Linked DNA regions of Canis lupus familiaris. The protein of the gene in region 2 interacts with the protein of the main gene of each other region in a pairwise test. Links are inferred from orthologs where the notes say so. Each region holds a gene or a part of one and is shown on either strand. Other genes may lie near its edges.

Evidence for each region.
Region 1: the proteins of GABARAPL2 (region 2) and KIAA1958 interact in binary tests that used the Homo sapiens proteins (3 or more experiments, as listed by UniProt). The two-hybrid records come from large-scale screens. The link is inferred for Canis lupus familiaris from reciprocal best matches to the Homo sapiens genes GABARAPL2 and KIAA1958.
Region 3: the proteins of GABARAPL2 (region 2) and TBC1D9B interact in binary tests that used the Homo sapiens proteins (3 or more experiments, as listed by UniProt). The link is inferred for Canis lupus familiaris from reciprocal best matches to the Homo sapiens genes GABARAPL2 and TBC1D9B.
Region 4: the proteins of GABARAPL2 (region 2) and FUNDC1 interact in binary tests that used the Homo sapiens proteins (3 or more experiments, as listed by UniProt). The two-hybrid records come from large-scale screens. The link is inferred for Canis lupus familiaris from reciprocal best matches to the Homo sapiens genes GABARAPL2 and FUNDC1.

The regions. Positions count from the first base shown.
Region 1 is NC_049232.1:67,371,558-67,375,915, forward strand, and holds the start of KIAA1958 (uncharacterized protein KIAA1958 homolog), read left to right. Parts: upstream 1-1,523; 5' UTR 1,524-1,582; intron 1,583-4,358.
Region 2 is NC_049226.1:75,815,052-75,819,341, reverse strand, and holds the start of GABARAPL2 (gamma-aminobutyric acid receptor-associated protein-like 2), read left to right. Parts: upstream 1-1,471; 5' UTR 1,472-2,086; coding exon 2,087-2,120; intron 2,121-2,444; coding exon 2,445-2,500; intron 2,501-3,633; coding exon 3,634-3,806; intron 3,807-4,290. UniProt on the Homo sapiens protein: Ubiquitin-like modifier involved in intra-Golgi traffic. Modulates intra-Golgi transport through coupling between NSF activity and SNAREs activation. It first stimulates the ATPase activity of NSF which in turn stimulates the association with GOSR1.
Region 3 is NC_049232.1:2,093,293-2,095,618, forward strand, and holds part of TBC1D9B (TBC1 domain family member 9B), read left to right. Parts: intron 1-174; coding exon 175-237; intron 238-658; coding exon 659-765; intron 766-1,525; coding exon 1,526-2,212; 3' UTR 2,213-2,326. UniProt on the Homo sapiens protein: May act as a GTPase-activating protein for Rab family protein(s).
Region 4 is NC_049260.1:38,703,789-38,707,907, reverse strand, and holds the start of FUNDC1 (FUN14 domain-containing protein 1), read left to right. Parts: upstream 1-1,303; 5' UTR 1,304-1,434; coding exon 1,435-1,462; intron 1,463-2,162; coding exon 2,163-2,319; intron 2,320-4,119. UniProt on the Homo sapiens protein: Integral mitochondrial outer-membrane protein that mediates the formation of mitochondria-associated endoplasmic reticulum membranes (MAMs).

The DNA.
Region 1 (4,358 bases), on a different chromosome or scaffold from region 2:
CAAGAGGGGCTGAGGTTCCCTGGTCACAGTGGGGTGAGGCCAGGCTGTGAGCACCACGTATGGCTAATCAGATGTGCTTTACATATTATTTACTTGCCATTATTATTATTATTTTGGAGCTACCTATTACTGAATAGAAAGGAAGTTAAGAGCATGGAATCTGGCGCCAAACTGCCTGGGACGAATCCGGGTTCCTCCAGCTACTCTGTGATCCTGGGCAGGTGTCTTAACTCCTCTCCGCTTCAGTTTCCTCATCCATAATCGGGCAGTGCTAACACCCACTGCATAGAGTTCTTAGGATTAAGCAGCTGCATAGTCCCTAAGCACCTAGAGACGCTCACATACAGTAAGTGCTGCGTTTGCTACGTGAAATAAAGGTGGGGGGCGCCAGCCTTGCCCCTGTGGTCCCGAGGTGCGTAGGGGGGCGGGGAATCAGTGCCTGCCTCGGTGGTCCTCGTGTGTTTTAGGTGTCATGCCCCCCCCCCCCCCCCCCCCCCCCGCCATGGGATGGACGCGAGTGCGGTAGTTGGACTGGGAACTTCCACTGGGCAGCGGTGACTGGGTTGCCCGCGAGCAGGAGGTGTTCCCGAACCTGGATGTAGAGGTGCCGGCGCTCGGTGCCTTAGGACAGGTGCTACAGCGGGCGGCGCAAGGTCCGGCCGGGGCTGCAGCTGGCGCCTGGGGGACGCTCCCTGAGGCTCGGGGGGGGGGGGGGGCGTGGGGTCACCGGCCGGGGCTGCAGCTGGCGCCTGGGGGACGCTCCCCGGGGCTCAGGGGGGCGGTGCTCGGGGTCACCGGCCGGGGCTGCACCTGGCGCCTGGGGGACGCTCCCCGGGGCTGGGGGGGGGGCGTGGGGTCACCGGCCGGGGCTGCACCTGGCGCCTGGGGGACGCTCCCTGGGGCTCGGGGGGGCGGTGCTCGGGGTCACCGGCCGGGGCTGCACCTGGCGCCTGGGGGACGCTCCCCGGGGCTCGGGGCGGGGGGGGGGCGTGGGGTCTCCGGCCGGGGCGCCCCCGCCCCCCCCCCCTCCCCCGCACGCGGCGCCGGCCGCACCTGCCTGGGCGCGGAGGGCGAGCCCGTGCGCGCCGGCGCCGCCGGGAAGGTCGGGGCGCACGTCCGCGGGCAGCGGCGGCCGCGAGCTCGGAGCGCTCCGCGGCGGTGTCGTTACACACTTCCTGTGGGTCTCGCGGCCCGCGGCGCGCTTCCGGTGCCGGCTGGAGCCCGGGTCCGAGCCCCCGCCCCGCCCGCCCGCCGGCCCCGCCCCGCCCGCGCCCCGCCCCCCGCCCGCCGCGCTCCGAGCTCCGAGCTCCGAGCCGGGCGCGCGGAGCCCGGGGCGCACGGAGCGGCGCGCGCCGGTCGCAGAGCCAGGCTGGCGCCCCGGCCCCCGCCCCCCCGGCCCGCGCCCCCGCCCCCGCCCCCGCCCGCCGCCCGCCCGGCGCCCTCCCCGCGCTCCCTGCCTGCGCGCCCCGGGCCTCCGGCCGCCTTCCCTCCCTCCCCTCGGTCCCGCCCCGTCCAGCCCGGGCCCCCCGGCCCCCCCCGCCGCCGCCCGCGTTCCTATGGACAGACGCACAGACACCTGCAGGTGGGTGAGAGCCCGCGCGGGGCGGGGACGAGCGCGCCGACGCTGCGCCCTGGGCCGGGAGCCCCTTTGTGTGGGGGGCGGCCGCGCTGGGGTCCGCGGCGCCGAGCGCTGACCCGGCTGAACCCTCTTTTGTCTCCTGGCGGGGGGGGGAAGGCCGGGAGCCCGTGAGGGCAGCGGCGGGGGCGCGGGGCGCGGGGCGCGGGGGGGACCCGGGCTCCGAGCTCCGAGCGGGGCCCCCGCCGCGCAGCATCCCCCGCCGCCGCCGCCGCCGCCGCGCTGCGTGGTCCGGCTCCCCCGCGCCCGCCCCGGCTCTGTCCGGAGGGGGCAGGAGGGCGGGAAGGGGAAGGAGCCGTCGGCCCTCGTAGTTTCCAAGTGTTGAGGCGCTGGCGGGGAGGGAGGCGGGAGGCGGGAGGCGGGAGGCGGGAGGCGGCTCGGGGCTCTGCCCGACTTGTTCCGCCGGCGGGAGGCGCGGCCGTGCAGGGGCGAGCGGCGCTCCGGCCCCTTATTTATTGTCTCCAACGGAGGCGGCGTCCCCGGGAGGCCCCCGCGCCCCCCGCACCCCCCCGCCGAGGCCGCGGCCCACGCGCGCGGGTTCCCGGGCCCCGCGACCCGACCGGGCTGCGAGCAGCTTGGCCCCCGGCCCCCCGCCCCCCCGCCCCCCGGCCCCCGGCCCCAGCCACGCTCGCGGGCCGAGTCGGTGTTCAGGTGCTGCCTCTCCTCCTCCTCCTCCTCCTCCTCCTTCTAAGGTTAGGCAGGGACTTACAGGCAAATCGAAGATGAACATGGCTGGGATTTTTACCTTTTGGTTTTCTTTTTGCATATATGTATATATATGTATATGCACATATTTTAAAGTTTGATGATAAAGTTTTGTTATTTCCCAGACTCCTTAGGATTAGCAAGACAGTCTCCTACCTGTTAGGTAAACAGTTACCAAGCGAGTCAGGTGCTGGCTGACAGCCTCCACGGTGGAGGTTAAATGCAAATGCAGTAAATATCCAGCCTCCCGTGCAGGCTAAAACCTTTATCTTTTGCTGGTTTAGAGCCTGAGGTCTTCCACAGCACAGGGAGGAGAACATAAATGTTAGAACTAATTTTTTTTTTCTCTCCCCCCCCCCCCCCCGTGAGTGTGCTTTCCTTCTTTTATTCTGTGTGTCTATTCCCTCTCTCTCTCTCTAAAACCCCACGATTGGGTCGTACATGGTGGAAATAGTTTTTTTGCAAAGTAGCGTAGGTGATATTTCCGACTTATATTATTCATCTGGTTGAGCTTCTTGTGAAGAGCTGATGTGTATTCGTAGGTATCCAAATTGTAAATGAAGTTGAATGAGCACCCAGAAACTTGATTTTACAGATTCACATTTTTAGTGCAGGCACGAATTTATATCTTTGTATGAATCTCAGTCTAGGGCTCACTTCTGGAGACCTTTTTTTTTTTTTTTCTCTTTCCTGCCGTGTGAGAATCCATATGGACAAATTTAAATCTGATGGTTATCAAGGAGACTGAAAAAATAGTTTTGGGTGCACTCAGGTCGTATATGTGGAGTTGTATGTAGAAACCAGAAGCTTTCTTAAACATCTGAAAAACATTGTGGTGGAAAAGAATTTATTTAAATCTTCATCAAGTAGGATACAGAAATTCATCAGAAAGCAATGTACAATGTTAATACAGTTTTGATTAGGCAAAATGATTTTTGTCATGATGAAGCGGAGACAGCTTCAGTGTGCCGAAAAGTCATTTTTTTTCCAGAAGAAAAAAATTAGCCTAGATGTTTGCCCTAGTTACATTAACAGATTATTATTATTATTGCATGCCCAACGTTGTAAGTATCTGGGCTGTACATTTTTATACACTTAAAACTTAGAAGATGCTACATCTAATCTAACAATCTTACCAGTCCCTTTGAACTGATCAAATTTTATTCTTGTTTTGACTTCCTTTCTAGATTAGCTGAATGAATGTAGAGGGCATATAGGGTTCAGTGCAAGGCACTAGTAGGCCCTTGTGCAAGATTCCACTTTCTTTTCTGGTAAGGACGGCCCAAAGAGCATAGGTATTGAAATTTGTTCAGGCTTTATTAGGAATGGTGGGATGGAGTCAGAACACACTCCCGGAGTTCCAGCTATTTGATTACACACACTCTTTATCAGTTCTTAGGAATTTTTTTTTTAAAGATTTTATTTATTTATGAAAGACAGCGAGAGAGGCAGAGACACAGGCAGAAGGAGAAGCAGGCTCCATGCCGGGAGCCCAACGTGGGACTCGATGCCGAGTCCCCAGGATCACACCCCGGGCTGAAGGCAGCGCTAAACCGCTGGGCCACCGGGGCTGCCCAGTGCTTAGGAATTTTTAAAAAGATAAGTTAATAACTTGAATTGTTTATGTATTTATCTGTCAGTCAGAGGGATGAGGTTTAACAGAGTCACGGTGTAAATTAAATATTAAGAGAGTGTGGTCTGTGTTGAGAATTGCTTGGCAACTTGTAGTTATGCCAACAGTTTTCTGGGATTGGCAGTGTAGTGTCTTCCCATGGGCAGGCTAAGAGGTAACACCTAGTTTGTTTTTGTTTTTGGCTGTGATATATGGGTATTCATTTTTTTGTTTTTGTATAATAAACAGTATTTTTTTGTGTAGCCCGAAGCAGTCCAGAGAACCTTACATATTTTCAGCTGATTTCTCTTCTTGTATGTTGGTGGTTAGGAAGGGGTATAAATTATTTTTCACTCTTCATGGTTGAGACTTTTTTCTGATACTTTTGATATGACAAATGTTACT
Region 2 (4,290 bases):
TATCATCAAATTTTGTTGGTTGGCTCTACCTTCAAAATATATCTAGAATATAATTGCTTCCCACCATCCCCACAGACATTATCTTGGTCTAGGCCAACATCATCTTCCACTTGGATTATCACAATAGCTTCCTAATTGTTTTCCTGACTTCCATTCTCAAACCCTTAGAGTCTGTCTACAAAAAAGCTAGCCTGCTCAGTTCAAAAGGAAAGCCATACCATGTCACACCTCTGCTTAAAATCCTCTACTTCTCATTTCATTCTAAATAACATCCAAAGTTCTTCACATGAAATTCAAAACTCAACAGCTGGGCAGCCCGGGTGGCTCAGCGGTTTAATACTGCCTTCAGCCCAGGGCCTGATCCTGGAGACCTGGGATCGAGTCCCACGTCGGGCTCCCTGTGTGGAGCCTGCGACTCCCTCTGCCTGTGTTTCTGCCTCTCTCTCTCTCTGTCTCTCATGAATAAATAAATAATCTTAAAAAAAAAAAAAACTCAACAGCTTTGTTACACATATCTTTGATCTCATCTTCTAACATACCCCCCCTTGCTAATTCAGCTCCAGCCACAAGGGGTTCCTTCCTGTCCCTGATTATGCCAACCACTTTACCTGATTAGCATTACCCCACTGTCACTCGTCACCAACCCTGCTTTATTTTCTAAACAGCGCCTACCATTACCTGACATTTGTTGTCTTATCCCACTAGAAACTCCTTGACAGCTGAATGTTCTGTTCACTGCTTTTCCTCAACACCTAGAACAGTGCTCCTGTATGCAGCAGTAATAATTTCTAGGTATGAAATTCAAAGGGCTTTTCACTTCATTAAAAACAAGCAAGCAAACAAAAGCCTATTTTGGTTGCTCAGACAATCTTAAAATAACCAAAATGCTTCTAGAATGAAGCTAGATTCCACAGCATCCATCAGGAATTACAACTATGGGAAATGGTGAACGACAATATTCACACATGCAATCCTTTCAGATGCATCAGAATCATAAGCACATGACAAGGATCATGTGCCCAATTAAATGAATATTCTTGTTACATATTCACCAGCTAGTAAACAGATGTTGACCCAGAGCAGACTGTCCTGATGACTCTGCTAGGAAGAAAGAGGTGACATCACTGGAGAACTCAAGGCATATGCTCAGGCAGGTGACACACGTACGCACAGCCTAGACTGTGATTGCTGAACTCCATGCTGACTGCCAAAGAAATTTGTCTCATGACTCTCAGGGGAATTCTCTCAGCCAGACAGTCACCTCTAAGTCCTCTGTAGTTAAGGTTAAGGGGTCTCTTTGTGATCAGTGAGATGTTATGCTCCTCAAATGTCTATTTGTGATACATGTGCTTACATGTTTAGTCAAACGTTTATTTATTCATGAAAAAAGGAAGGAAATAGGGTTTTGTTTAAATTCCATTTCTAGGTCCAAGGCCACCTGTTTTGGCTGTCTCCAATACTGAACCCCCGGCTTGTCATCAGAACCTCTCCCCACACAGGCCCCTCAAATTAGCCACACCCTCCAACCTGTTACCACTCCAAACAATACTCCCCAAACTGTCAATGCGCTAAACAGATCTCCCCCACCCCGCCATTATCGACCATCAGAGACCCCTCGTCTGTCACTCATGCTCCAAAATTCCCGACACCGAGACTTCCCTCATGAAAAGCCCTCTGAGCGCCCTATCCTATCAGCCAGACCCCCAAACTCCTCTTCCCGTTACCAACGTCCGCCGAGACCCGGTTCCTGTTAGCAGTTCCCGACAGCATCCCCTTCCCCGTCACCGAAACCCCTCCAGGACTGCCGGGTGGCCAACGTCATCAGCCCCACTTCCTCGTAGCCTCGCCTCGCCCCGCCCCGCCTCGCCGCTCGCCCCGCCCCTTTGAATGTGGCCACGCCCCCTGGCGCGGCGTCCCGGCGAACTGCGCCGGAAGCCCCGCCCCCGGCCGGTTGCTAGGCTCCGGCAGCCGGAAGTCCCGCCTGCCGTGTAGTCGCCGCCGCCGCTGCTGCCGTCGTTGTTGTTGTGGTTGGTTCGCTGAGCTCCGCGGCTCCGAGAGCCGGCTGCATCCCTTCCCCGCCGTCGCCATGAAGTGGATGTTCAAGGAGGACCACTCGCTGGGTAAGGCTCCGTCAGAGGCCGGGTGGTGGGGGTCGCGGCGGCGGGTGGGCCCCCTCCCCCACTCGGGCCGCCCTGGGCTGGGCCGGGCGGGGCGGATGCCGAGCTGTGGCCTCGGGTCGCGGAGGCCCCGGCGCCCCCGCCGGCTGCCCACGGACGCTGTGCCGCCTTCTGCCCTCCTGCCGGGAGGCGGGGGCCGAGGACCGAGGCCGCCGAGACGCCGTAACAAGGACCCGGGCGTGCGCAGGTCGCTGGGGGAGGTGGGTCGGGGGCGCGGGAAGCGGCGGACGAGCAGGCGCGACCGGCAGCCCCGTCTGTTTCCCACAGAACACAGATGCGTGGAATCCGCGAAGATCCGAGCGAAATACCCCGACCGCGTTCCGGTGAGTGCACTCCCCGCCCCCTCACCTCGTCGTCACCCCGTCGTCTAGGACTCGCGATAGGGCCCCGGGCCACTCAGCAGTTGATAAGTTGAGGTTCCAGTCCCAGTTATAGGAGCAGACAAGCCAGACGGGGCTCGGGGCCTTGGGGGCCGTGGCGTGAGGGGCTTGAGCAGGTGCTGTTCAGGGTGCCTCAGTGCTGAATCTCCCGATCTAGGCCAGCGAGCTGTCTGCAGCCTCTGGGCTCCCTCGCCAATTATGTAAGGAACGATGTTCTAGGACAGGGCAACAGGTCACTGCCACTTTTGGGAACACTGGTGGAGGGAGACTGTCACTTTGGTCTTAGAAGTGGTACTTTAGTCTCAGGACACTCATCTTTAACTTTGAGCCTCTGTCTTTACTTGATTTCTAGCTCCCTTTCCTCACTCTGACCCTGTCATCCTTTGCTGACCAAAAAAAATCTGAGAAGCCTCTGAGAACTCCCTTCTTTCGTGGTTCCTCCTTAATCAGTAATAAAGATCCTGTTTCTTCCGTGGTAGGGGTAAAGTTTCTATAATTCTTACTGATTTTTAGAGGACATCCGTGTCTGTTATTGTAGCTCTTTGTTTGAACAAGCAAAACTCTGAGGAGGGGTTAGGAGGGACACATTTGAAACCTAGTTCAGGGAGAAGCAACAGGCCAAATGAGGAGCTTGGTTTACTCATTCCCATTAGTCCATCCATTCCTCTCCCCTTTGTTCCTTGGGATCTTACTTCCTCTGTAGTGTGAAGGCAGATTCATTCTGGAGTCTTGGAGTAACTGGCTGTAGATGAAACCAGGTATCTCAGGTCTGCCCAGACAAAATGTCGAAGAGCTTTGTAGTAAGGGCGTGTGTTTCTCTTATGCTCGCTGAGATGCAGGATGATAAACATAATTGACCACAGAAAAGCACTTTCTGTTTCCATATCATACATTTATGTCAGTTCTTAACCTCCAGAGTTAAGAGTTTGTGGTTTATTAAATCAGGGGCATATTTTCCAGTGTTGTGCAGTTTCCCACCCACCTCCTTGCCCACATAGTATTCATCAGCTCCCTGGCAATGCAAGGCCAGAGCCTCACTTTAGAAACCCAGTCCTGATCTCTCTTTGCTTTCCCAGGTGATTGTGGAAAAAGTCTCAGGCTCTCAGATTGTCGACATTGACAAACGGAAGTATTTGGTTCCATCTGACATCACTGTGGCTCAGTTCATGTGGATCATCAGGAAAAGGATCCAGCTTCCTTCTGAAAAGGCAATCTTCCTGTTTGTGGATAAGACAGTCCCACAGTCCAGGTGAGAAGTGTTTACTAGCATTGGCCACCTGCTTGGCTGCTTACAGAACTCTAAACTTTGGAGGTGAGAAAACTCTTAGAGGTCCTGACTGGAAATCTGGATGTTGTGCTCCCTGACATGAGGAGCTCAAGGAAAATAAGAAAGGGCTACAGTATCTGGGAATATACTTTGGGTTAAGAAAATAGAACAAGGTTGGACTTAAAAAAAAAAAAAAATCTAGCCTCAGACCCTGATGAATACTTTAAAACAGTTCAGGATTTACTTAGGCTTAAGCCATCACTAGAACCTAAATGAGCCTAAAATTAGGTTTTCTTTAAATGACCCATGAAATAAGTCCTGTCGTTCTCCACTAGGGGCTTGTGGGCCCTGCTGAGGCTCAGCTTCAGTTAATCATCCTCCTGCTTGCTCTCCAAACTTAGTTCTGTGCCACTGCGAGTGTGTAGCTGTCTGATCCTCAGGTATGCTGGAATGGCTGCTGTCCAGC
Region 3 (2,326 bases), on a different chromosome or scaffold from region 2:
TTTGGCAGAGAGGCAGGAGGGTTTGGTGGCACTTTGGGTCCCTGTAACCAGGTGCAAAGCATCAGCGCAGGGCTTCTACGGGAGAACAGACCCATCTGCTCACAGGCCTCCGTGGTTTGCGGTTGTAACACAAGAATGTTCTCTGTGTACTTTCCCCTTTTTTCGGTTGTCCAGAAGCACTGCAGCAGGAAGAGCAAGAGGGAAGCAGAAATGAGGACGTCCAAGAAAAGAGAGGAGGTACAGGCAGACCAGTGTGGCCAGTGCTCACGCACATCCCGGGTTGATGGGGTCTGTGCAGGCCTCCCTCCCAGGGAAATGGCAAACACGGCCTCTGCTGCCAGAGGAAGCCCCTCTCAGCCCCAGACCTGACTCTCCTAGCTGTGAATACCAACCCACCCCCACCTCCCTCTAGGAGCCCAGCCTGTCCCTCTCCTGCCACCCTCTCATCAACCTCCATGTCCTTTCAAACCTACTTTAGTGTAATAACTCAGGGGAGACATCTGGGTGCTCTTCCCATCACCACCTCCCCAGATACTGGGGTGTTTTGTAAGCGGGCCCCAGTAACCCCATGCCAGACAGCCCCCAAACCCACTCACTGCCTGCTCCTGGCCCCAGCTCTGTCTCTGACTTGACAGATCTTTTTTCTCCCAACTCACAGAGGAGAAGGGGACCAGCCCTCCCGACTATCGGCACTACCTTCGCATGTGGGCCAAAGAGAAAGAGGTTCAGAAGGAGACCATTAAGGATCTTCCCAAAATGAACCAGGTAAGCCCATTCAGAGCCCCCCTTGAACAGACATTTCCAAGGCTGGGTTCCCCGGACCCAAAAAGCTCCCTACCGTCTCTCCCAAAACCCCTGAAAGGGTGGAAATTCTCCTGCCTGCCTCCAACACCTGCTAGTCAGAGTCAGGGATGATTCCAGAGGGACAGGAGTCCACTTGCTTTGGAGCCAACTCCTGGTGATGACTTGTTCACATTTAATTGGGATCCATCCACTAGAATAGCTGTAGAGACTCACATGACCCCTCTTACAAGACAGCCTCACAGCACTCCTGTTCCTCCCCAGGGCCGGGCACAGGCAGGCGTCAGACCCCCCCCCATCCCCCACAGCTAACCCAGGCTGTGTTTGCTTGTCCTCACCATCTATTCTGATCAAAGATGTACGAAACTCAAAGTGATTCCAAAACACACTGAAGAAGTCCTTCAGTAGCCACCGACCAGGTTTGGAAAGTCATGGCAGAAATCAGTGTGGCTCTGCTAGCAGAGTGGACTTAGGGGCAGGGAAGAGACTATGCTCAAAGTAAAGGCAGTTGGAAAAGAAAGCTCTTCTGAGGCTATGTGATATCGGTCAAGTAAGCTTCCCACTCTGTGTCTCAGTGTCCCAGTCTGTGACGTGGGTGTAACAAGGCACAGGTGTACAGACAGCTAACAAGACTACAGAGCACGGGCAGTCTGGCTGATCTGAGGTCAGGCTGACCCATCTTCTCCCATCTCCCTGACCTTTTTTCTGTGTTTCGTCTGAAAAGGAACAGTTCATTGAGCTGTGCAAGACACTTTACAATATGTTCAGCGAGGACCCCATGGAGCAGGACTTGTACCATGCCATCGCCACGGTGGCAAGCCTGCTGCTCCGCATCGGTGAGGTGGGCAAGAAGTTTTCGGCGCAGCCGGGCAGGAAGCCCAGGGATGGTGTGCCCGAGGAGGACGAGCCCGTGGCCACTGAACCCCCACAGGACCCAGCCCCAGAGCTTCAGCCCCCAGCCACAGGGGATCCCCAGGCCAAAGCCGGGGGAGACACCCACCTCGGGAAAGCTCCACAGGAGAGCCAGGTGGTGGGCGAAGGGGGCAGCGGCGAGGGCCGGGGCTCCCCCTCCCAGCTTCTGTCGGACGACGAAACCAAAGACGACATGTCCATGTCCTCCTACTCAGTGGTCAGCACTGGCTCCCTGCCATGCGAGGACCTGGCTGACGACACGGTGCTGGTGGGCGGGGAGGCCCGCAGTCCTCCAGCCACCGCCCGCTGTGGCGGCGCTGTAGACACAGACTGGTGCATCTCCTTTGAGCAGATCCTGGCCTCCATCCTGACGGAGTCCGTCCTGGTGAACTTCTTTGAGAAGAGGGTGGACATCGGACTCAAGATCAAGGAGCAGAAGAAGGTGGAGAGACAGTTCAGCACCTCCAGCGACCTCGAACAGTCTGGAGTTTCAGGCTGACAGGGACCTGGCCTGTCTCTCTGCTTCCCCCTCCCCCTTCGTGTTCTCTTTTCTCCTTAAGGACGCACCCCTCTTGCTCTCCCCAGACGCAGTCAGTTGTGAATGGAAAAAAGG
Region 4 (4,119 bases), on a different chromosome or scaffold from region 2:
AAATTTCCTTCTTTCCCTGTAGGCTGCTTCTAGCTGGTTTAGGAGTTGAATTCATAGGAGACAGGTGAACAGGAGGTTAAGAAAAAAAGTTTTATTACATGTGCATGGAAGTCCAATAATGAAATTGAGACCCTAAGAAATGACCAAGGCTGGCAGTTTTGATATATTTTAGACAGAGACAAGAAATTCCTGAGGAATTGACAGGACAAAGAAAATAGGGGTTTGGGAGCTTTAGTTAGTAAGGAATTCTGAACAGAATTTGGGCTGAGTGAGGTAGTAGATTAGGAAAAAAAAATAAATAACAAGGCTCATTTCTCCAGCTTTCTCCACTTTAAAGTTCCTATCTCTGGTGATAAGGACGTCTTTTTACTTAGTACAGGGAGGGCATTTTTCACACGGGAAATTTATTTCCTGCTTTCAGTGGGGGACAAAGGAGGATCTGAGTGTACTTGTACCAGGTTGTTTCCTGGGTTGATTCAATTCAAAATAATCAATATGCCAGCGCAGTACATTTGGGGGCAGCTTGCCCTGCGCTCCTACACAACCTGTACCTGAATTCCTTGTTTTTCCATTAAAACAAGTGCAGAGAGGGCTTTTTTTAATTGTACAGCAAATGCAGGTGGTCCTGCAAGTTCGAAACAGGTTTAGGGACCGGTTTATATGAACCTGAGTTAGCTGCTTGGTAATCAACACGGCTTTCGAATCTGGTGGGGCTTCTGGGTGAAGAGCCTGACCTCGTTCCTCTGTCAGACTTAAATAATAAAAATGATGCTAAAAAAAAAAAATTATGTCCTCTTGAACATCGTGTCAGGTCAGTCCCTAGGCCTTTCTCTACTTCCCTTGGGTTCCTGGCAGGAAACATGTGGAGAGGGAGCGGATAAACAGGTTCCCGTTCCCAGCAGCAGCACGTTACAAAAATTTTCCATCTGTTGTCGTGCCCTTGCCTCCGTACAAAAAGTGCGGTTTGAAACACGGTTTCTCTTATCTCCCTTTAAAAGCCTTTTTTCTCAGGCGCTTGCATTCTGGTACAGTGTTGAGCATGCCAAGCTGCTTTTCGCTTTATATCATCATGTGACGCCGCCTCTCCTCCAGCCTTGAGGCTCTTTAAAACAGAATCACAAAATATAGTTACTGAGATTCTAGGAGCGATGGGGGTGGGGTGAGAAGCGAGGACTGCGGAGGGCAACGGACTACACTTCCCACAAGCCCTCGCGCGGCAGCTCCCCTCCCTCCCCCACGCTTCCCACCCGGAGGCTTGCGCTTGCGCGGAAAATCCTGCGCTGAGAGGAGGGGCGGGGACGACACAACGCGCCTGAAAGGGGAGGAGGAAAGAAAGAGACCATAGACTTTCACCTGGGCCTAGAAGGTCTCTTAAAGTAGTGGGGAGAGGAGGGCGGGTGGGGACCACCTTCAGAGCAGGCCGCCGGCGGTATCATGGCGACCCGGAACCCCCCTCCCCAAGGTGAGCGGCCGGGGCCCGAAGTAGTATCTCGGACGTGGCTCACAGCTCTCGACCTTGCCCCCGGGGGCGCCTCTTCTTCCCCTGCCCCAGGGATCCAGGGGCTCTTTTTTGGACGCACCCCTTTAGAACTAGACGCCCTCCTCTTACGGCTGAACTCTGGCGGAGAGCGACCCCCGACCCCAACACAGCCCTGCTTCCTGCCTTACCTTCCCCTCTGGCCCTTCGTTTCCATCTTCAGACGTGCTTTTTGGCATTTCTGATGAATTACTGAAGTAATTTCATCTTGCCAGGCCCCTAACCGCTTCTGTCAGTGGAGGACCCCCTCTTTGTCCCACTGATGAAAATGGATCTCTAGCTCGGGCCCTGACCCGACTGAGATTTGGGGGCGACCGTTTATGCCGTGAAAGTCTGACCTGGCCTTACTGCCATTTGGGGAGGCGACCCCTCACTTCTGTGTAACTCTGACGTGGCTCTGGCTCCGGCCTCTAGGCCGGTCCCTGGGCCTTTGGAAGGGAGATGCTAGGCCCTTTTACTCTTGAGGCCCTAGTCTCAGGTGTGGGGTTTAACAACCTAAGGTTTCCATCTGGGCATTTTTAGCTGTAAGAAAGTAACAGTTAATGACAGATTTTTTAAAAAATGTAAGGACCTTTCTGACTTTTGGTTAACTCTAAATTTATTTTTTCCATTTTGTATTTTGAAGAGTATGAAAGCGATGACGAGTCTTATGAAGTGTTGGATTTAACTGAGTATGCAAGAAGACACCATTGGTGGAATCGAGTGTTTGGCCACAGTTCCGGACCTATGGTTGAAAAATACTCGGTAGCCACCCAGATTGTAATGGGTGGAGTGACTGGCTGGTGAGAACATCTTTTTCATTAGATTTCATTGGCAGCCTTACTGCTGCCCTTCCGTAAACAGGCCAGTTACTGAGCGCATTCAGTGGTTTTACACTGTTAATCCCAGAAGAGCTCTACCTTGAGGCTCTTCTCTGTGATATGATTGGTGTGATCTACAGTCTGGAGACAGTGGTTTTGGTGATTGGCTTCCCCACGCCCACCACTTGTTCCCCTGGTCCCTCTCCCTTCCTTTGATTCTTTACGTACTTTCCACCTTCTCACATTTAGCAAATGTAGTGTATCTGATTCAGTGAGAGTGGGTAAAAAGGAAGATCCATCTGAGGGCTAATTATATGTAAATAATTTTTACTTGTGCAATGCTAACAACTGGAAAGACCTTTGAGGACTCCCACAGTAGAATTGGTCTCTAGGATTGAGAGCTCTGTAGAAAGCCGTGTAAAATTCTCAATGAAAATTATTGTGAATCAAATGGTTCTGTTGATTTTTGTGGACTAATTTGGATTATTATAATACTTTGAAGAAGAGTTGGAATTGAAGGACCAATTGCTTACTCTGTAATAATATTGTGGAATGCATTAAGGAGAAGCAGTTAAGCATTAACCTAACTAACCAATTAATGTTTTGGGCTGCATGATGACATGATTGCTACTGTAGATCAAGTTGTTATTCTTGGAATAAAAGATTAGCCAAATAACAAGGGTCAAACAAGTATGGCCCTTTATCTTGAAAATGTTCATGATCGTGGAGAATTTTTGACGTTTGTGGGAGTGCTTAGCTTGTGAGTAATCATTTTTCTCCCTTAGTTCTAGGTTAAATTTATCTTACATTAAATATTTACATATTTAAACTTGATAAGCATTAAGCTTTTTGATTTGTGTTTTATATGTACCTTAGAACAAGGTTCATTCCTTTATGCCTTTTTGTAAATGCTATTTTATGGTAGAAACATGCATTGTGAAGATTCTGTGATGCAAAGGTACAGTATTTCTTCATGATGTGTGCTTATTAATGCTGCTTATGAAAAGACCTGCAACTAGAAGAGAGATGCCTGGTCAGGGCCCTGGTTATTCAGTTGATCCTCCACAGATAGTTTGTACCTTGATCCTCCATAATGGAGTCTGGTGCTCTGCTCACATAAGCTCACACGTTGGTGCCATGGCTGATTGGTTAATGGGAGTCTGGGCCTAAAGCCCCATCTTAAAAGACACTAAAAGAATAATTAAGCGATAGAATTATCACATTGTGTGCATTCTCCTTGTAGGCCAGACTTGGTGAGAAGCCCCATAATTGGCAGAAGTTTGCTTGGAAAGCCTAGAGACAGAGCAGGGGAAGTTAGTAGTTTAATTTTGATGGCTCATGCTGTTAAGCAAAGGATAGACATGCTTGTGAGACATGGTCTCTGGGATGTACTTGTGACTTGGCTGCTGCTCCCCCCCCCCATCAGAGCCTTTGTTGCTGACTTCCCTACTGGCAGCTGTGGTCTTTATAGTAATACGTATGTTTGGGTTACAGCCAGGTGTCGTCGGCTCAGGAGCTGTGTAATAGGACTCCAATATTACACGGGTGGTTTGTTGCAATGACTTTAGACTCAGTGCAGTAAATTTCTGCAATTTTCTTAAGGTAGAAAACTGATGTACTATCGTGGCATGTGTTAAGGAGGAATGGTTAATAGGCATTAACCTAACCAGTTAACATTGCAGACTCTGAACTCTGTAATAATATTGTGGAATGCATTAAGGAGAAGCATATCAGGTTCAGGATATGCATGGGAGGCTAAAGAGATTATATGCAGCTGTAGGT